Linked DNA regions of Arabidopsis thaliana. Each later gene encodes a partner of the first gene's protein in a complex. Each region holds a gene or a part of one and is shown in the gene's direction. Other genes may lie near its edges.

Region 1 (9,096 bases):
TAGTTAATGTCTTTAATTTCCACACGTTACCAACTTTGTTTGATTCTATTTTATATTTTGGTATTTCCATTTTTGGGATTTTACGTGTAAACTTCGGCGAGCCGATCATCACTCTTATAACCATGGCTTGTAGATTCGTCTCTATATATATGTAATTTGTTTTTGTTGTCCTTTTTATACGACGCTCTCAAATAATTATTACTAAATCATATCAATAATTTTCACTATATTTTATTTTGGTTCTGGTACATATTCTTGCATCTATACAGATTCCAATCACCCAAAGATATGATTAGAATTATCCGTTCTCAGGCATACAAGTGCAGTTTGGTTAGGCACTCATACATACATACTAACATACACTAGCCCAACCACTATGGACAATTGGGCCTGTCAAATTTTCAACCTTGATGTACAGTACGTGTCCGTGATCATTATCTGCCCAGATGAAATTGAAATGTGAAAGATTCTCGAGTTTTCATTTCCAAAACACATGTTAATAATGCTAATACATAGTATTGGAAAATAAGCATATCCACTAATACCGATATGCATGCATATCTCAATATCGCATCGATGAAAACTATGAACTGCCATCACTTGGAACCGTGTCATTTAACTCGACTGTCGCGCGATATAAACTATGCATCTTTGTTGTTCATACCTTCACAACGTTATCATCAACAGTTATGATCACTTATCAGCCAGATTTTTCAAACTCGAGCTTTGTATTTTAGCGGCAATTTGTTTTTGGTAACAAAGGAACCCATGCACTTGTCAGCGTAAAGCAAACACGTGTCCAAACCATTAAGCCACGTGGTCATTGTCCGACTCTACAACCTCTCTCTGTTTCTTCTCTCATTCCTTTATATGATACTACGATTTAATACGCTTTGCATTGAATAACAAAAAAAAAAACAGAGCACAATGACTAGATTTGCGGTATTGCCACTCTCTGTTCTTCTTCTCGTTCTCTTGTTCCTCTGCACTGAGTCGTTGGCTAAGTCGGAGGAGTCTGAAGAATACGACGTCGCTGTGCCTTCATGTTGCGGGTTTTCGTCTCCTCTTCTGATTAAGAAAGATCAATGGAAACCAATCTTCGAGACGAAGTTTGGACAGATCTCAACCGTTCAAATCGGCAATGGATGCGGTGGAATGGGACCTTACAAGATACATTCCATAACGTTGGAGCCAAACACAATTTTGCTCCCTCTTCTTCTTCATTCCGACATGGTCTTCTTCGTTGACTCTGGTACATAATAAACTGTTTAAATTTCTTCGGTTTGGTTTACAGATCAGTTTCGGTTTAGGTCAAAATTGGATTGTGATTTGTATAGGAAGTGGGATTCTGAATTGGGTTGACGAGGAAGCGAAGAGTACCGAGATCAGACTAGGAGACGTTTACAGGCTACGTCCCGGTTCGGTTTTCTACTTACAGAGCAAACCGGTGGATATCTTCCTTGGAACCAAACTTAAGCTTTACGCAATCTTCTCCAACAACGATGAGTGTTTACATGTATAAGTTTGATATGATTCTTTCTTTTTTCACTTTCTTGACATCTTTTTCTTCTTCTTATTGTATCTGTATTCCATGGATGCAGGATCCTTGCTTTGGTGCCTATTCGAGTATCACAGATCTAATGTTTGGTTTTGATGAGACAATTCTCCAGTCAGCTTTTGGGGTATGTCTTAATCTGCCGATGAATAAGTTACGAATTGTCTATATCTTACTTGGGAAGCAAGATAGGAATTGTGTATATCTTACTTCCCAACTTACTCTAGTAGAGGATATTTTGGGTTGTATTAAGTGATATATTAAATTCAATGGTTTTAATTAGGTTCCTGAGGGGATTATAGAGCTGATGAGGAACCGTACGAAGCCACCATTGATCGTGAGTGAGACGCTTTGCACACCAGGTGTGGCCAACACTTGGCAGCTCCAACCGCGATTACTAAAGCTCTTTGCTGGAAGTGCAGACTTGGTGGATAACAAGAAGAAGAAAGAGAAGAAAGAGAAGAAGGAGAAGGTGAAGAAAGCGAAGACATTCAATGTTTTCGAATCTGAACCGGATTTCGAGAGCCCCTACGGTCGTACTATAACGATTAACAGGAAGGATCTGAAAGTTTTAAAAGGCTCAATGGTTGGAGTTTCCATGGTGAATCTCACTCAAGGATCGATGATGGGACCGCACTGGAATCCATGGGCTTGCGAGATTTCGATTGTATTGAAAGGAGCAGGAATGGTTAGGGTTCTTAGGTCTTCGATATCATCAAACACATCATCAGAGTGTAAGAACGTGAGGTTTAAAGTAGAGGAAGGAGATATTTTCGCAGTTCCACGGTTACATCCAATGGCTCAAATGTCTTTCAACAATGACTCGTTAGTGTTCGTTGGGTTTACTACTTCAGCTAAGAATAACGAGCCGCAGTTCTTAGCCGGGGAGGACTCGGCTTTGCGGATGCTTGACCGGCAAGTATTGGCTGCATCGCTTAATGTGAGTAGTGTGACGATTGATGGATTGTTGGGAGCTCAGAAGGAAGCTGTTATCTTGGAATGTCATTCTTGTGCGGAAGGAGAGATAGAGAAGCTTAAGGTGGAGATAGAGAGGAAGAAAATAGATGATGAGAGGAAGAGGAGACATGATGAAAGGAAGAAAGAAGAAGAAGAGGCGAAGAGAGAAGAGGAAGAGAGGAGGAAACGTGAAGAAGAAGAAGAGAAGAAGCGGTGGCCACCTCAACAACCACCACAAGAAGAAGAACTTAGGGAACGGCAACTACCGATGGAGAAAGAATGGGAAATGGAAGGTGAAGAGGAGAGTTAAGCCGGAGGAGTAAAAGAGAAGGCCAACGTACGTCAAGAGTGTGTTTGGTTTGTTGTTAGTGGTTAGAACTTTGGTTCTGACCTCTCTTGTAACTTTTTTTTTCCATAGTCTTGTTTATTTGTTAATGTACTTTTGCATTGTTTTTGTTGTTGCCATGTTTAAAGTTGTATTGTGTTTGTATAATGTTTTGTTTTGTTTAAATCTTTGTAGATGGTAAATGAGAAATAAGTAAATATTTCCGAGAGACTGTTGAGTGACGACGTTACTTCTTGTTATTGATAACTCTGTGGTTTATTATACACTTGTAGTAGTAGTCGTACTTGCTAACTTATGTCATTTGGTTTACAATTGTATAATGTATTTGTAACCCTCTTGCTATAGCTTCGGCATATTAAAGTTTTGAATGGTGATAACGGAGGAGTCGTAGATAATGCAATCAACTTCCCATGCTCTGTTCTCTTGTTGTTGCAAGAGATATTGGAATAAAAGGCAAATTTATCTCAAACACAGATTGGGCCATATCTTGAAAAGGCAAATTCATAAAACTCTCAAAAAGTAGATTTATCCCAAACACGAATTGGGCCAACTATTGGACCGGATGCGCTGAATAATGGGCCTTATCAGATTTGGACCGGCCTGTTTTTATATGACATTTACAAAAATACCCTCACAGGAGGTCCCGTGTTGGCTATAAAAAAATAGAATAATCCGTAATTGCCCTAAAATAGTTTGGTTTCTGCATCCACCCCTTTCTTCGAATCTCGACGGCTGAAACAGATTCTAAATTTATCTCCGGTGAGAAAGAGATAGAGAGCGTTGATTCCGGCGAAAAGATGTCTGAATTCGAAGATCACGAGGGAAACGGTACGGTTGCTGACGCGATTTACGACGAAGAGAATGGTGGCCGCGACGGCGAAATCGAGGATCAATTGGACTCGAAACCCAAGGTAATTTCCCCCCTGATTATCTTCAATCTCCTAGCTTATAGTTGGAGTTTCGAATCTATATTTCCTAGCAATTGGATTGAATTGAGAATCGAATTATGAGATGATTAGTTTTAAAGCTGCTTCTGTTTCATTGATTCTTAAACTGTAATTGATGAGGTTTTGGGTGTGTTTACATGTGCAGAGAGAATCGCGTGACCATGAAAGAGAGACATCAAGAAGTAAAGATAGAGAAAGAGAGAAGGGTCGTGATAAGGACAGAGAAAGAGACTCTGAAGTCTCTCGCCGAAGCAGGGATAGAGATGGAGAGAAAAGCAAGGAGAGGAGTAGAGACAAAGACAGAGATCATCGTGAGCGTCATCACAGAAGTAGTCGTCACAGGGATCATAGCAGGGAGCGTGGTGAAAGAAGAGAACGTGGTGGTAGGGATGATGATGATTACCGTCGAAGCCGTGATCGTGACCATGATAGGTAGACTGTTCTTGAATTGAATTATACATTTTCAATTTAGATTGAATCCTTTTTGATTTTATGGAAGGTACTGATTTGGCTTATTTTTTATTCTTCTAGGCGGAGAGATGATAGAGGAGGAAGACGCAGTCGTCGATCTCGATCTCGTTCAAAGGATAGATCTGAGCGCAGAACAAGGTCACGATCTCCATCGAAAAGGTAGCATTTTTTTCTCATTGGATTACTTACTCTTCTATGAAGTAATTGCTTCAATCTAAGAAAGTTTCTAACCTCACTCAATATATGTTGTTGCAGTAAGCAGCGAGTCAGTGGATTCGATATGGCACCTCCAGCCTCTGCAATGTTAGCTGCTGGTGCTGCTGTTACAGGTATATCTCTTTAATTTAGCACCTTCTCATTAGCATAATGTAGAATTCATACCTAATACACGTACTGGGATTGATAAAATCTGTTTCTCCTGAATAACTACAAAAACATAGGCTGTTTTCTTTCTTTTTTTACTTGGGACATAACGCTAGAACTGAGAGCTTTTGGTTGTTTGGTGGTCTTTGTGTCTCTTGTTTGCTTTTCTGTTTTGGTAAGGCAACACTGGGTGTGGGCTGGTTAGCTCTTATATACAAGGAAGAATTACTGCGTATGGGTATTGCTCATCCTCAGTACATATCACTGGTTTTGTTAGTCTTGCAAAAATTTTCCATGCAGACTTAAACCTCTTGATGTCACCAATACATTTCCAGGGATGGTAAACTAGGTTTTCTCATATGTAATTTTCTTATGTATTAACCTGTTTTTCTTTTGTAGGCCAAGTTCCTCCCGCTCCACCAACTCTTCCTGGGGCTGGAATGTTTCCCAACATGTTTCCATTGCCGACTGGACAGGTCTGTGGTCTTTCCCTTTTAATATTTTCTTAATTGATGTCTTTCTTGAACTAAGTCGTCTATGTCCTACAGTCATTTGGGGGACTCTCTATGATGCCAATTCAGGCTATGACACAGCAGGTTAGATTTTATTTATCATGGATATACGCAAGATACTATGTATTTCTCTGTTCTAATTTAATCCTTATTTACTTTGTGTCTTCAGGCAACTAGACATGCTCGCAGAGTCTATGTCGGTGGGCTTTCCCCTACGGCAAATGAACAGGTTATTATCCACTTTCTTTTTTCATTTTCTCCCACTGAAATATGTTTCAGCAAATAATGATACTAACATTGATTTATTATTTTGTATTTGCAGTCTGTGGCTACATTTTTTAGTCAAGTTATGGCTGCTGTTGGTGGAAACACTGCTGGTCCAGGTACATAATCCTGGTGCAGATGCTAGAGTGTCTATTATGATACTTGGATTAATCTTTTTTTATAAATCTTTTTTCTTACTCGCAGGTGATGCAGTTGTTAATGTCTACATAAACCACGAGAAGAAGTTTGCTTTTGTGGAGATGCGATCTGTTGAAGAGGCAAGTAACGCTATGTCTTTGGATGGGATTATATTTGAGGTATGTTTTAATGTTTACCGCACTACCAAATATTTGGTTGAGTTTTAGTACTGGCATTTCTTTGGTATATAGGTTACCCAACTGAATGCTTATCTTTCTTTTTCTTTTTTTCTTTTCCAGGGAGCTCCGGTGAAGGTGAGGAGACCTAGTGACTATAACCCATCTCTAGCTGCGACTCTTGGTCCAAGCCAGCCCAGTCCCCATCTAAACTTAGCTGCTGTTGGTCTGACTCCAGGTGCTTCTGGTGGGCTTGAGGGACCAGATCGTATTTTTGTTGGTGGACTTCCATATTACTTCACGGAATCACAAGTGAGGGAGTTGTTGGAGTCCTTTGGAGGCCTCAAGGGCTTTGATCTTGTAAAAGATCGAGAAACAGGGAACTCTAAAGGATATGCCTTTTGTGTGTACCAAGATCTTTCTGTTACAGATATCGCGTGCGCTGCCCTAAATGGTATCAAGATGGGAGATAAGACTCTTACAGTGAGACGTGCCAACCAGGGAACAATGCTACAAAAGCCTGAACAAGAGAACGTATTATTGCATGCACAGCAGCAAATAGCTTTTCAGGTAATTTTTTTTCTTCTTAATAATATTGGAAGAAAACAAAATGAGCTTGCAAAACGTGTTGAGACCTAACTTGAATATTTCCATTTATAAGATTAAAAGACTGATTGATGGTTTTATCTTTTGCAGAGGGTTATGTTACAGCCTGGTGCAGTGGCAACCACTGTGGTGTGTCTGACTCAAGTTGTTACTGAGGATGAGCTTAGAGATGATGAGGAGTATGGAGATATAATGGAAGACATGAGACAGGAAGGCGGAAAGTTTGGTAAGAGACCTCTTAATTGCGCAATATGGTCTATTTTGAAATATAAGATTAAAAGCATATTGATCTGTCTCTCTGTTTTCTTGGTTGTGCTGTTTTACAGCCTTTTGCTATAAAGAATCAGCCCTAACATACACAGACAGGAGACTGCATAAACCTCCTAATCTATTTATCACCAATGGCCACTATTTCTTAAAAGAAAAAACTGACTTGTTTTTGTCTGTGTTTTCTTGTCTTGTATTCGAAATGTTTTGTTCTTTAACTCTTAAAATGCAGGTGCTTTGACCAATGTTGTGATTCCGCGTCCAAGCCCCAATGGTGAGCCAGTGGCAGGCCTTGGCAAGGTAAACTTATCTCTCTCTCTTTCTCTCTACTTCTTGTATATTTCTATTTAGTCGTAATCTGACTGTCTGATATATTTAATGTGCAGGTGTTTTTGAAGTATGCCGATACAGATGGCTCGACTAGGGCAAGATTCGGGATGAATGGTAGGAAATTTGGAGGAAATGAAGTCGTTGCAGTGTATTACCCTGAAGACAAGTTTGAACAGGGTGATTATGGAGCCTGATCACTTCTTTGTTTGCTTTCTATTACTTAAAAGTTAAGTACTTTGCTTCAGTTTCAAGACCCTTTTGCGTGATTGTAAGAGTATGAGATTATCGACACGTTGCTTATTATAACGTTTTTATCTCATATCTTTGGTCTATTTCTTAAATATTTATCTCAAAAATTATTCACAGAATAACATCATGAGTCCCTCGTAAAACATCATTCGTCTCTCGTAAATGTGACATATGTTCTAAATCAACACAAGAAGTTGAGTACTCTCTCTATTGAAATATTCAAGTAGTTTGGTTCTCTTCTGATAGAAGAAAAAAGAAAGAAAAAGAAGCAAACTTGTAAAACCCAAAAATCTCTGTTAAGCCACTAAAACCCTAAAGGCGTCTCCTTTTCTCGCCACCACTCTCCACAATACCCATTTCTGCAAAATGGCTTCTTCTCGTATTTCTCTCCGCCTTGTTCGCCGATTTGCCTCAGCCGCCGCTGACGGTACGACCACCGCTCCCTCTTCAGGCAAAATCTCTGTCTCCAAAGCTAAGTCCACTCTCCGGAAAGAACACGATCCCGACAAAGCTCTTAAGATCTACGCCAATGTCTCCGATCACTCAGCCTCTCCTGTTTCATCTCGCTACGCCCAAGAGCTCACTGTTCGTCGCCTCGCCAAGTGTCGCCGTTTCTCAGACATCGAAACCCTAATTGAATCCCACAAAAATGATCCCAAAATCAAAGAAGAACCTTTCTACTCTACGCTTATCAGATCTTACGGCCAAGCCTCTATGTTTAATCACGCCATGAGAACCTTCGAGCAGATGGATCAATACGGCACACCCAGATCAGCTGTTTCCTTCAACGCCTTGCTCAACGCTTGTCTCCATTCCAAGAATTTCGATAAAGTCCCCCAACTGTTCGACGAAATTCCTCAGAGGTACAATAAGATCATCCCTGACAAAATCTCTTACGGTATATTGATTAAGTCATACTGTGACTCTGGTACCCCTGAAAAAGCCATTGAGATTATGAGACAGATGCAAGGTAAAGGCATGGAAGTTACTACCATTGCTTTCACCACCATTTTGAGTTCATTGTATAAGAAAGGTGAGCTCGAGGTAGCTGATAACTTGTGGAATGAGATGGTGAAGAAAGGCTGTGAATTGGATAATGCAGCGTATAATGTTCGTATAATGAGTGCTCAAAAGGAAAGCCCTGAAAGAGTTAAGGAGTTGATTGAAGAAATGAGTAGTATGGGATTGAAACCTGATACGATTAGCTATAACTATCTTATGACTGCGTATTGTGAGAGAGGAATGTTGGACGAAGCTAAGAAAGTGTATGAAGGACTTGAAGGTAACAACTGTGCTCCCAACGCAGCTACTTTTAGGACATTGATATTTCATCTTTGTTATAGCCGATTGTACGAGCAAGGCTATGCGATCTTCAAGAAGAGTGTGTATATGCACAAGATTCCAGATTTCAACACTTTGAAGCATTTGGTTGTGGGATTGGTGGAGAACAAGAAAAGAGATGACGCTAAAGGGTTGATTAGAACGGTGAAGAAGAAATTCCCTCCGAGTTTCTTGAATGCGTGGAAGAAACTCGAGGAGGAACTCGGGCTGTATTCAAAAACCGATGCTTTTCCATCTTCTGCAAAAGAGGCTGCTGCTGCTTAATAGCTCAAGAGCATTTCGATTGAACATCTTATTTTGTTGCTTGAAGACTTGTTGAAAACTATGATCTAGTATGCAGGTTTATTTATAAGCTGCTCCTGCATTTTTCTTTCCTCATAAATTAGCTTGTAAAAGCTTGACGGTTTGTTGTTGGAATCTCTAGAATTCCATAGTCAACAATTTTCAGGTTCATATAGTTCACTGCTTTGTTCTACACACTTGTGCTTCATGATGAATTCAAGTTTCTTTCAGTTTTATGTTGTTTTTACATATCCTTCTACTTGCAACTAAAGGGTCAAGCTGGTTCTGTTGG
Region 2 (6,729 bases), on another chromosome or scaffold:
AGACCGTCGTTGAGGTAATGCATGTTGTCAACTCCTATTCCTTTGTTAATGCTCTTTCTGTGAACATACACAAGAAAAGTTTAGCGATGCGAAAGAAATTTTATGAGCAAACAGGGGAAACACGGCCAAAATTGATCCTGGTGCAGGTATGTGTATCTAAGGGAAGAAGGAATATCAATAAAGTGACAAAGATAGGGTTACTTGGAGAGGCCTGGAGCCAAGAGACTGTATTTTGGCTAAGATACGAAAGTATATCAAAGCACATGTTTGTATTTTCAAATAAATTCCAGCGAAAAATTGACTTACATGTCCTTTGCTGACATTTTGGTGAAGCCTATTGCTAAGGCATGTTGCTTTCCTTCTGCATATATGGCCTAAACAAATACAGATTCATGGTTTAAGATCAGCATATACAAACAAAAATGCAACCCAGGGAAATACTGTTTTTATTCATACCACTGGCCTTTCAGCCTCGACTTCTTGATCCAGAACGCCTCCCGGGGATGTAAGACCAGGACACATTATGTTTGCACCAGACAGAACAAACTTTATGGCACCTCTATCAACTTGAAACCTCTTCATTATATTTGGGTCTGCAAAACTCCAAACATTCAGCTGCCAAATTTTTGACATTCGTGGCTAATTGAAAAAACTCCAAGTTTCTTTCTATGTATCATTCAAGTATGTAAAAGTTAGCTGAACGTGGTGTTTTCAAGAATATTTTATACTCTTCTGGTAACAGCCAATGCCAAAACCTTCTCACTATGATAAGGGTCAGCTAACCCGGAAAACATAAAACAAAATATACTAAACAAAAATCCTGGCTAACCAATCATACGTGGACCTTTTATATAGTTCACTCGCATGAAAAAAGCCAAAGGAACAACAACTTACAGGAACCAAACCCCAGGAAGTTCTAAATAACTCAGAGAAAAGTGTCGGACATACTATTCAGGTATATGCAGTATTTGAACCAGGTAAGTTCTACTGCAGACCACAGTAAGACTAACAGGTGTGAAGAAGAGTGATTGTATGAATAAAACACCCAGATATGTTATGTTTTGATAACAAGACCATATAGCATGGATGGTGTGAAGGAAAAGTGATATTACATTGATGAAGAAGCCGCAGTGTTGGCATGTATGGCCCGTCACGGATACAGAAGAAGAGGGGGACATTGTTGACAACAACTAGGGTCAGATGGTTTGGGCTGCACGAGAAATATAGTCAGGAATACTGTAAGACATAGATAGTGGGTAAAAGAAAATTCAGAAAACAAAACAATGAATATGAGTTTGTTAATTTACAGACCACTTCACTACGATAAGAGGAATCTTTTTGGGAAGTAGATCCTCCATCACTGATTCAAGTCCCGGGTACTGCAACATTAACATAAACATATTTATATCTGACAAACTTCACGAAATCATAAAAGTTTAAGAAGGGGAAAAAGACAAATGAAACAACAGACATACCTCATCTTGGATACTCTGGCGGATCCTACGTTGAACAGATGCCTTCACTTGGTTTTGTGATGAAATCTCCTCCAAACAAAACCTAAATAAAAAGTAGTGAACATAAATAACACCTTCATAGACATAATGGTATATCAAATAGATCTAAAGTTGATAGCAGTAGGGAAAAATAAACTTTATACAAGATTCACTATGAATGTATAAGCATGTTTCAGGAGATGGATAAACACAAACTCCATGATAGTAGAGAGTTTAGACTGGTCAAATCAAGACACAAACTTTCCTCTATGACCCACGACTCTTTGTACAGATTTGATAAATCAAATAGTGACACTATCAATATAGAAACCAAAACTTTACAATAGCAAGATGTTAGCTTTTGAGAACTCAAAACCTTCTACTTTGAAGAAAATATAACAACCAATATGCCCATACCAAGGCTACTCTAAGCAATCAAATTAACAATGTGGTCGACAACAAGTAGAAGGGAGTGAGTTCTCGATAGTTATTAGAGTAAGTGGATACTAAATAAAGAGACCATCACATTCTTTATCAACTAGTATAAACAATGCCGAGATGTTGAAACCACTAATTCTTAGATTCTACAATCCGGGTATGAAAAACAGTTTCTATCTAAATAAAAAAGTAGAGAAAGAATCTAGAAAGAGACAAAGATGCTTACTTCTTAAACATGTTCGAGGTTTATTGAAAATGATCACCAGCTTCTAACTATGGTATCTTCTTCCCTGCAAGCGAACAGTGGAAGATGATTGATAACGGAAATATCGGAACATCACTCAACAAACCAAAAATTTGGACATCATATCGCAACAAATTCAATAGGAAAAATACTGAAATTCCAAAACAGAAAAACCAAACGGAACAGAGCAGGAACTCACGGACTGAGAGAGACCGTGGACGGTGTCACGGCGGAAAATGGTCTTGGACGGAGTTACTAATCGGCGAATTGAGATTTGAGAGGTGGTAGTAGAGGAACCGAGAGAATGTTTCTCTCAAAAAAATCCCCAAGTGTTTCCGATCTAGTGTCTCTTTTGTCCAAAAACGACAGTGTTTAGGAAACCTAGGAGAATGAATGACCCGATGGTCCGAATCCGATTCGAAATTGGTTCGAATTGTAATAACTAACATACAATATTCCGGTTTGAATGATAAGAAAAAACACATTCGATCCGGTTAGAACAATATATTAACAGGCCCATTAAAACATATGGGCCGATCTTGATCAACTGGGCTATTCATCGTTGATACATGCGGCCGCACAGGATTAAAATCCAGTTCCGTTTTATAAAAGGATACTAGTTTCCAAACGAACGGTGGTTGTCTCCTTTCCAGAACAATCTAACGCTTTCTCGAACATCTTCTTCTTCTTCTTTCTCGAAATTATTTTTCCAGTAATCAATTTCTTCTCTTCTAGATTTTTACAGGAACTAATTTTCTGCTCTGAGGTATCAGATGAGTAGCCGATGGAATCGTACGATCTACGTTGGGAATTTGCCTGGAGATATTCGCAAGTGTGAGGTTGAAGATCTCTTCTACAAGGTTTGAAAATTCCTCTTTTCTCTCGATAAAAATTGAATTCATTATGACTTGTTTGGGTTCATAAATTTGCAATTCTGTCTTGCTGAGACAATTTAAATCGACTCTTATGTATATTTGTTTCAGTATGGACCAATTGTGGACATTGATTTGAAGATTCCACCGAGACCTCCTGGTTATGCCTTTGTCGAGGTATATTGATCAAGTACAAATTTGTTTTTTTCTTCTTCTTGTAATAGTATAGGCTAATGACTAAGATAGTTTGTTATTGGTGGCAGTTTGAAGATCCTCGTGATGCAGACGATGCAATTTATGGACGTGATGGTTATGATTTTGATGGGTGTCGACTTCGGGTTAGTAAACGCATGATGAAAGCTAGCTTAATTTTCTGTAATTTCTTGTAAAGGTGTTATCTTTGTGTGATGTTTTTAGGTTGAGATTGCACATGGTGGTCGTAGATTTTCACCATCAGTTGATAGGTACAGCAGCAGCTACAGTGCGAGCCGTGCACCTTCAAGACGCTCTGACTACCGCGGTTTGTAGAGTCTTCTCGATTGTGTTATTTGGTGTTGTGTAAAATTTTATATTTGAAAACTCATTTTTACTACCTAAACATGTAGTGCTTGTGACCGGATTACCGCCTTCTGCTTCGTGGCAGGACCTTAAGGTAAGGGACACTATATAGTCTTTTTCTCTGAATGTTGGTTCTCTATATCATGTTTTGGATTTATCTCTTTTCTGAAATGATGTTATTTGCTATTTACGGGTGATTAGGATCACATGCGCAAAGCTGGAGATGTCTGCTTCTCTGAAGTTTTCCCTGACCGTAAAGGTGAGTTGACATTCGATAGTTTGGATAAGCTTTTGATTGATGTGTTAGTAAATTAGTCTTTGTGAAGGAGAATAGGTGTTAAGCATCTGAACTGCTAAACTCACATTCAGTATTTCTTTGTAGGCATGTCTGGGGTTGTGGATTATAGCAACTATGATGATATGAAGTACGCAGTAAGTTTTATATCTTTGCAACGCAAATGTTCCTGGACTTATGCCTTAGACTGCTTTTGTTTCATAGTATACCGAGCTGAATTTATCTTCCTGGAGGCCAGTGTTGGATCTTTGATGTTCCCTTAAAATTTTTGATGTGACAGATAAGGAAACTTGATGCCACTGAATTTCGAAATGCTTTCTCTAGTGCTTATATACGGGTATGTTGTATTGCTTTCTTTGATTTTGTTAAGCATAAGTGGATATGGAGTCATCTCTGAATTTACTGTTCAGGTGAGGGAATATGAGTCGAGGAGTGTGAGTCGAAGCCCAGATGATTCTAAAAGCTATAGAAGCAGGAGTCGGAGCCGTGGTCCAAGCTGTAGCTATAGTAGCAAGAGCAGGAGGTCTTTTTTTTTTTTTTTTTTTCATAAACCTAAGACATATAAGGGATTTTTATTGTAACTTATTTATGAAATTAACTGACTTCTAAATGCAATGCAGTGTGTCACCTGCTAGATCCATTTCCCCGCGTTCACGGCCCCTTAGTCGTTCTCGCTCGCTATACAGCTCTGTCTCAAGGTATGAGTGTTAGATTTGTATCATTATTATATATGTAGTTACCCCTTCATGGATCACTTGTTCTTGCATAGTGAACTCCTTACTAGCTTTATTACTTACAACTAAGCACCTTTTGTTGCTTCCGTACACAGTTGAATTTGTTTGAGTCTTTTTTCCCTCATAGTGGACTAGTCTATTGTCACTTGATTTTCTTCCTTTGTTGATGTTTTCTATGTCATGCAAACTCCAATATGGGTAAAGGTTACCTCCTTGTTTGGGATTACCAGAGTTCCTTTTCATTTCTTACACGTGAATGTGTTTGTTTTTTATGTTTTGAGTTCTTGACAGAGATGCTCCCATCATATTTAGTCCTTTTCCTTTCTCTTTGTGTCGTTCTCTTCTGGATGTTTCCTTCTGATAAAGCTTTACTTCTTAACTTTTTTCCAGCGACGGTGAATTTATTACGTATCAATCTTCATTATCCGACTTATAATTTAAAGAACACTTAGCTAGATGTTTCACTTTTTGAAAATTTATTTCTATCGGAAGGGGGAAGATGGATTTCTGAGGCATGTCCTCGATCATTTACCGTGATTACAATTGTATTGCGTTGTTTGTTTTCTAGATCTGGCTCACTGCTACGAGCTGGGGATTGGATCTAGATGGGTCATCTAGATGGATTCTTGGACTGGATTTACAAAGCTGGATTAGCATGAACTTGAACTTCTGTTTTTACGGTCTGGTCTGGTCTGGTACTCCGCGCGTATCAGCTGTAGGATCTGATCGCAAAGTTTTGGACTATGATTACTCTGATTCCTCAATATATTTATCTTTTTGACAATAGTGGATTCTGTGTTGAGTTCTTTTCTAGGACAGCATTTAAGCTCCCGGGACTAGATGGGAGATGGTCAGTAAATTTCTTTGTTATGCCACACTTACATGGGGTTTTTGGTCTTGCTGCAGGTCCCAATCAAGATCAAAATCAAGATCAAGATCAAGATCGAATTCTCCAGTTTCACCTGTAAGTCTAAAAGCTGAACCTTCTTTAATTCACAATCCATGGTGTTTGTTTAAATACCTGCTCACTTTGGTTGTTCTTCAATCAACACCAACTTAACGAAATCATGAGACAGACTATAAAATTTGAAGAGTCTTAGAACGACTAGGTCTCACCAACCTCTGTGTGCACTAAAAATCGCCTCTCCAAGTGTTTCAGCAACATAATCTACCTCTGTCATGTGTTATCATTTCTTCTTCTCTTAACGGTATTACATATTATGTTTTGCAGGTGATATCTGGTTGAAAATGAAAACTGGCCACTGGCTGTACCCGAATCGTCTCAAGCTTCTCAGGCTCCACTGCTAATAGAATTTGATTCCGATTTGGGATTATTATACTGGTCTTCTTGTATGGGACGACCAATATGTCTTTCTAGTTTTAGTTGTGAACCTGGAATTGGTCTGTTATTGTGTCATTAAAAAGCCGGAAACTCTGTCTCGGCTGCATAATAAAGTTCATCAGACATTGTGTTGGGTGTGGTGAGGTTTTTCCATACATATACATTTACATTACAACTACTGGTGTCTTTTATGATTATCTTAAACTAAACTTGCAGTGTTAAAACTAAACTTGCTTTTGTTTTTGGATAAGATCACTCTAAAACGGTACAACCCCTGCCTGTATCCTACCAACAGTAACAACACACTACAGCTCATAGGCCATAGCACCAGAGTTTTGTGTAAACGAAATGGCCCAGAATAATTGCAATTTGGTCCGAAAGTAAAGTCTATTGCGACTGGGCCTGTTCCCTAAAATGTGATTTGGGCTATAGCCGGAATATCAAATAGCGGGTCAACCCGAAACCCGACCCAGTAATTATTCTCTCCCCTCCGAAAGCATCGATAAATCCTCTGGTTTCCTTTGTCCAACGAGTCCATTTTCGCGAGCTTCCGTGTCCAAGAGCTCCTCGACCATGGCGTCTTGTTTACAAGCATCCATGAATTCTCTGCTTCCACGCTCTTCTTCTTTTTCTCCTCATCCTCCTCTATCTTCGAATTCATCCGGGAGAAGAAACTTGAAGACTTTTCGTTACGCCTTTCGCGCCAAAGCCTCTGCCAAAATCCCTATGCCTCCGATAAATCCAAAGGATCCT
Region 3 (5,588 bases), on another chromosome or scaffold:
AATCACACTATTGCTACTCACCTTCTTCTCCGAGAATCACTAAATCGCCGGCGAAAAACTTCAACGGAGAAATCTAAATTGTTTTCTTCGTGGAACAGATGAATGAACAAAAAAGTTCACGATAAGGACTCGAGACTCTTTGGGGACAGGCTATACAGAGTTTGGATAGAGAAGAAAATTTAATGAGAGACAAGAAAAATATAAAAACCGAATAACATAATACCAAATGCACATATACACGTTTTCTTACGATCTATTTTTCTAATTTTGGCAATAAAATAATATAAAGGTGTATGTAAATGACATTATTACCCTCAATCCTCTTATTATCTTCTTATTGTAGGGTTTGGTAGTAGATCAGATGATGACTAGATAATGTGGTGGACCATTTTCTTTTTTCGGCTGAAACAAATGAAATAATTTTAATCCTTAATCCAATCTAAAGGTAATGCTAAATTTGTATTTAATTTAAGAGATTATGAGATCTCATCAAACCTACTCTGTATAGGTCGTATATTGGTACTGGTCAACTTTTTTATTACTTTAATAAAATGATAGTTTGGTTAGTTTTATAATGAGCTATCGTTTACGAGTTTATCCAAAATGAATCAGATTTTCCGTAAACATGACTCTAAGAAAAACTCAACTCTGGTGCCAAATCATTAAGTTTACACAATATAAAATGTTAATGGTGTAAATAAATTACAATATACAACAGTTTTTAACATTGCATGTAGCATGCTTAAATTCTACAAACTTTTCCCGTGAAACAAATAAAAAAACATCCCATCAATTTTGTTTACGGTTCCAGTTTTTGTTTTTATGTATTTTAAAAATATTTCAATGTATAGTTTAAGTAGCTATATTGAATCTATGATTTGGTAAGACATGAGAAATTTATATCAAAGTGGCGGTGTCCATGTATACAAAAATCTAATGTTGACGACAAGTCGTTTCATGTTAACAAAAAAAATACCGACTAGTCACATCTCTACAAAGTGCAGGTAACGTTTTAAGAAATAATTATCATAATCCGTTGGCAAAAAAAAAAAAAAAAAGACTAAAACAATTTAATGTATTGGTCAAAAAACAAAACTTCTACACACGATCTAAGACTATATCCATATTGATAAGATGAATTGAATCGATATATATTCTTACTTTAACAAAAAAGAAAGATCATTAGAGTTATCTTGTCTTACTAAAAGTCTTAGATAAAGACATAAAAATGGAACAAACATCATTGGGAATGCAACATGCATGTACATATTACATATAGTAAATATAATATAGTTAAAAGCGAAGTCATTATTATATGACTAAACTAAGATAATTAAAACATGTAAGCACACATTATCGGGAATGTATTGATATTAAAAGGGCACCACGTAGGTCAGGGTGGCCTCTCAAACCCCCCAAGGGACAAAGCAGCATTAGGATTGTCACTAAAGTACTAACCATGTGTTATTTTACGATATTATCCCCATTTGGTGTTAATGGTTCCAAGTGTCAATGTAAATAACGTTGACATATATAAGCCGTGTTTTGTTTTCACGTTGTTTAGGAAGCCAACGAGGATTGGGTAATTGGATCCGAATCAGATTGACACTTTCTTCTTCTTTACTTTTCTTGCTCTTCCACTTGACAATACCAATTTAGGGCTTGGCTGGATACAAATGTTTTTATCCTTCTTCAACCCGTTATCCGTTTTACTAGACTTAAAAAAAAAAGAATAGTATGTGTAAATATGATACATGATATCATGCATTTGTTAACTACGATAAAAAAAATCGAATATCTATATTGTCCATTTTGCAGATATCCCTTTTAAATATCTAACTAAATATCTGTAAATGTGAGGTTTAAAATTGAAATCCGTATATTTTTATTGATATGCACAACGATAGTTACAATAAGTAACATGACACTAATAATCACTCCCCAAAATTTTTATACAATTAGATATAATTTTAAATACTAATATTCTATAAATATTTCACAATTTTAGAAATTTTGATACTAACCAATTAATGTTAGCTTTGGATAACGAATGAAGTTATGGCCATCTTATTTCTTCTGAGCCATCTATTTAGCCATAGCCATCCAAAAATTAAAGAGTATCTTATTCCTCCCATGTCCAGCTTAAGGGACAAGCCAGGGAATAGCGACACGTGTAAATTGAATGTCGATTTTGTAAAAGGAGGTAAGTGGGGTCTACACAGTGGCTGCAAATAAACGAATCATAACTAAACACGTGTCAAAGACACAGTCTTAGAGGAGTCGATGTAAGTGGGACCCAGCATGACTTATCTTGGTTCAGAATGTTTTCCCCAATGGATAAGTGTCTTTTTGTTTTTGGTGGGATGATGAAACCTTTTCTATTTACGTCGACGCAATTTTAAACAATGAGACTCTTTTTTTTTTGTGTGTGTGCAATCGTTTAGAGACTTGTTCACATGAATTAGGTGCCCAATCATGTGTAAATTGGTAAGGTATATGTAAAACTAACAATTGTTACACTTGCCAACTCCAAACTTAGATTTAATCAGCCTACTATATTTTGAAAATTTAAGAAGATACAAGTACTGATGCAAAAGTTGAAAACCAAAACCAACTCATATGGGCCATTAAGCAACTGAAACTTGCTCATATTTTTAAAATTTTAACCAAAAGGTTATGGGTTTTAGGCCCATTAGTTTTTTTCAGACTGAGAATCACGTCAAGTTACAGTAATTAGACATCAAACTCTAGAAACATGTTTGCATAACTTTTGTTGTCAAAGATGTTTTGCATAGTTTCAAAATCCGCTTTCACCTCAATTCTCTTTTTACGTTAACTAATCGACTATGGGAGACTAGTCTTACATTTTGGTCGCTAAAACTTTGTTTATGAATATATGGATTACCGAAAAATAAGGGACCATGAAATAACTAATAAATGACCAAATAATATATGATGTTAATTTTTTTTTACTTTTCAGTTTTCATATAATAATGAAATAACTTGGTTACTCTCTTTCCTCGCCGTAGTCTGAGTCTGAACCCTAAAACATCCCGCTTCGCTGCTCAGGACCAAGAATCTCAGGTACCTTGTTAACTACTCGCTGTAACTATTATCGATATCCATATTTCTTCACAAAATTCGATTCTCTTTCGTTCAGATTCAACTGATCTTTGCAACATGACGAGGGTTTATGTCGGGAATTTGGACCCACGCGTCACCGAAAGAGAACTCGAAGACGAATTCAAGGCCTTCGGTGTTCTTCGCAAGTAAGTCCTATCTCTGTACTCAATTTTGTTTCAAGCCATACGAATTATGACTCTGAATCTTAAAAATCGCAGTGTCTGGGTAGCTCGTAGACCTCCTGGCTACGCATTCCTCGAGTTCGATGACGAAAGAGATGCTTTGGATGCAATCAGCGCATTGGATCGTTAGTGTTCTTCTCATTAGACCTCTTAGTTACCATGTAATGTTTGTATTATTGTTTGGTCATTGAAAAGTTTTACTCTTGTGGCGTATACTTCAGGAAAGAATGGGTGGCGTGTGGAGCTTTCTCATAAAGATAAAGGAGGTCGTGGAGGTGGTGGTGGTCGTCGTGGAGGTATTGAGGATTCCAAGTGCTATGAGTGTGGTGAGCTTGGACATTTTGCTCGCGAGTGTCGCCGTGGTCGAGGCTCTGTGAGGCGTAGAAGCCCTAGTCCCCGTCGTCGTAGGAGTCCAGATTATGGGTATGCTCGCAGGTAACGATCCAACGGAAACATTCTTATTGAGCTGCTTAGATGAGATAGTATGTCATTAGTATGTCCATTGTGTTAACATATCCATTGAAATTGCACTTTGTAATCATGTATAGGGGCTGAGTTGTTAATGTTGATAGTACCTTTCTTGATGTTATAATCGCTTTGTGACATACATTTTTGTTCCTGTGGAATTGATTTTGTTCAGGAGTATAAGCCCGCGTGGAAGAAGATCTCCTCCAAGGCGTCGCAGTGTTACTCCACCTCGCCGTGGGAGGAGCTACAGCAGATCCCCTCCTTATCGTGGTTCACGCCGTGATTCTCCTCGCCGCAGAGACTCGCCCTATGGTCGACGTTCGCCATATGCCAATGGGTAAAAGTTCTTTTCTCTTCTTGGATTTAGGTTTACTTTCTCAATCTGCATGACTCAACTTCAGCATTGTCTATGTAGATGTGAATAACATTTGAAGTATTTTGATATAAGGTATATATTCGTTTGCGTTTCTGCAGGGTGTGAAACTGGACCCTGAAGAGAAAGAAGCTATTACTAAGCTATGATGCTATATCTACTCTGTGGCGCCTTTTAGGATAGATCTTTATATCTGCTATTATGGTATTAGCTCTTCTAGGTTTGGTTGTTGAGCATGGACATGTCATGGTATGTTCGAGTTTTATTAGACAATTGGATTTGGTGAGTTCTCCTTCATGCTGTTTTCCAACAGCCGTCTTGACTTATTCTCTATAACACGCACTGGCCTGCTGTCTTCACACAGCGTCCTTGAACCCCTACACTTGAGGTCGTTCTTTCGTATCCATAAATGTTTTGTCTCTTGTTGAATGCACTTTCCTTATTATATAGACATATCTAAAAAGCTCAACTGTTTCCACTCTTTTTCCCTTGTGAGGTATGATTTATCGGGGATCTCTTGGCAGCACAGCTGCATCTTACTCTCCCCACAACTTAGTTTTATCATGAATCTGCATCCTCAACTCGACCAACATCAGCTAGAATTTGCTTGTTACATTGTGTGACTTTTAGATTGCCCTGCTCTTTACTCACCACTCCTACCCCAAGTCTGCAACCAAGCTTCTATTGAGAAAGACGAATCTGTTTCTTCACCCCGTCCTCTTCCTAGCTCTCGGCTGCTATATCACCACTTGGTTTCTCTACTCACTTTTGTTTTTCGGTCAACTTTGTTACACATCTGTTGGTGGATCACACACTTACATTAAATTAAACCCATTTGTGGATGCTTCTTTTTTATATTGCTTGTGAAAAACGTGTTAGCTTAGTCTTTTGTGTTCATGATTTGGTTTCCCACTTATGCTTTTCTTTTCCCAATTAATCTCGACTTTTAATCTGTTCTTCTTCGGCCGCCACATGTTTTCATTTTAATACTTTTCTAAATTTGGTTTTGAGGCAATTTGGTTCAGATTTGTTGGTATACCAATTCTTACGTCAACGTCAATGAAGAAACGACTCCATATTTACGAATAAAAAACTGTAGTAGATCTGTACTCTCCCTTTTTCTTTGTAGAGAAGAAGAGAACTGTGAAAGAAGATGAAGATTGAGGAGGATCTAGGTTTCATCAACATACTCAAACGAGCAACAAAGCTTCTATGTGGTAACATCAATCTTGTTCTCTTCCTCTTCCTTTGCTCTCTCCCCCTCTTTTGTTTCTTGATCTTCTTCGAGCTTTCACTCCAAACCACTGTCTCACTCGCTTCTCAATACCTCGTTCGACAACTCACTAATTGGGATTACTACTACGTTCCTCAAGATGCTTCCGTCTTGGAGAATCTGATTCCATTGCTTATCCAGACATTTCTACTCTACTTGTTCCCGTACG

What was found. Proteins that work in one complex are often made in the same cells at the same time.
Region 2: ATU2AF65A (region 1) and SR30 share a complex: the UniProt entries of both Arabidopsis thaliana proteins name them as parts of the spliceosome.
Region 3: ATU2AF65A (region 1) and RSZ21 share a complex: the UniProt entries of both Arabidopsis thaliana proteins name them as parts of the spliceosome.

Annotation. Positions count from the first base shown.
Region 1 is NC_003075.7:17,292,169-17,301,264, reverse strand, and holds ATU2AF65A (U2 snRNP auxilliary factor, large subunit, splicing factor), read left to right. Parts: upstream 1-3,536; 5' UTR 3,537-3,655; coding exon 3,656-3,769; intron 3,770-3,950; coding exon 3,951-4,237; intron 4,238-4,336; coding exon 4,337-4,435; intron 4,436-4,531; coding exon 4,532-4,605; intron 4,606-5,038; coding exon 5,039-5,115; intron 5,116-5,187; coding exon 5,188-5,235; intron 5,236-5,320; coding exon 5,321-5,380; intron 5,381-5,473; coding exon 5,474-5,534; intron 5,535-5,619; coding exon 5,620-5,732; intron 5,733-5,852; coding exon 5,853-6,299; intron 6,300-6,425; coding exon 6,426-6,561; coding exon of another isoform or gene 6,562-6,834; coding exon 6,835-6,902; intron 6,903-6,988; coding exon 6,989-7,126; 3' UTR 7,127-7,318; downstream 7,319-9,096. Other genes in the region: AT4G36700 (RmlC-like cupins superfamily protein), read left to right, coding at 928-1,252, 1,338-1,516, 1,602-1,682, 1,839-2,822; AT4G36680 (Tetratricopeptide repeat (TPR)-like superfamily protein), read left to right, coding at 7,548-8,786. UniProt on the Arabidopsis thaliana protein: Necessary for the splicing of pre-mRNA.
Region 2 is NC_003070.9:2,942,038-2,948,766, reverse strand, and holds SR30 (SERINE-ARGININE PROTEIN 30), read left to right. Parts: upstream 1-2,790; 5' UTR 2,791-2,948; coding exon 2,949-3,035; intron 3,036-3,158; coding exon 3,159-3,224; intron 3,225-3,310; coding exon 3,311-3,385; intron 3,386-3,464; coding exon 3,465-3,567; intron 3,568-3,652; coding exon 3,653-3,699; intron 3,700-3,806; coding exon 3,807-3,864; intron 3,865-3,987; coding exon 3,988-4,037; intron 4,038-4,180; coding exon 4,181-4,237; intron 4,238-4,310; coding exon 4,311-4,423; intron 4,424-4,520; coding exon 4,521-4,598; coding exon of another isoform or gene 4,599-4,611; exon of another isoform or gene 4,612-5,202; coding exon of another isoform or gene 5,203-5,239; exon of another isoform or gene 5,240-5,540; coding exon 5,541-5,598; intron 5,599-5,865; coding exon 5,866-5,880; 3' UTR 5,881-6,229; downstream 6,230-6,729. Other genes in the region: AT1G09150 (pseudouridine synthase and archaeosine transglycosylase (PUA) domain-containing protein), read right to left, coding at 1-57, 307-374, 457-593, 1,113-1,210, 1,312-1,379, 1,476-1,557, 2,158-2,168; AT1G09130 (ATP-dependent caseinolytic (Clp) protease/crotonase family protein), read left to right, coding at 6,550-6,729. UniProt on the Arabidopsis thaliana protein: Regulatory splicing factor that modulates alternative splicing and gene expression in specific cell types. Autoregulates its own expression. Probably involved in intron recognition and spliceosome assembly.
Region 3 is NC_003070.9:8,426,757-8,432,344, reverse strand, and holds RSZ21 (RS-containing zinc finger protein 21), read left to right. Parts: upstream 1-2,859; 5' UTR 2,860-3,084; intron 3,085-3,103; exon of another isoform or gene 3,104-3,160; 5' UTR 3,161-3,180; coding exon 3,181-3,269; intron 3,270-3,341; coding exon 3,342-3,430; intron 3,431-3,526; coding exon 3,527-3,740; intron 3,741-3,945; coding exon 3,946-4,110; intron 4,111-4,247; coding exon 4,248-4,254; 3' UTR 4,255-5,088; downstream 5,089-5,588. Other genes in the region: AT1G23850 (uncharacterized protein), read left to right, coding at 5,300-5,588. UniProt on the Arabidopsis thaliana protein: Probably involved in intron recognition and spliceosome assembly.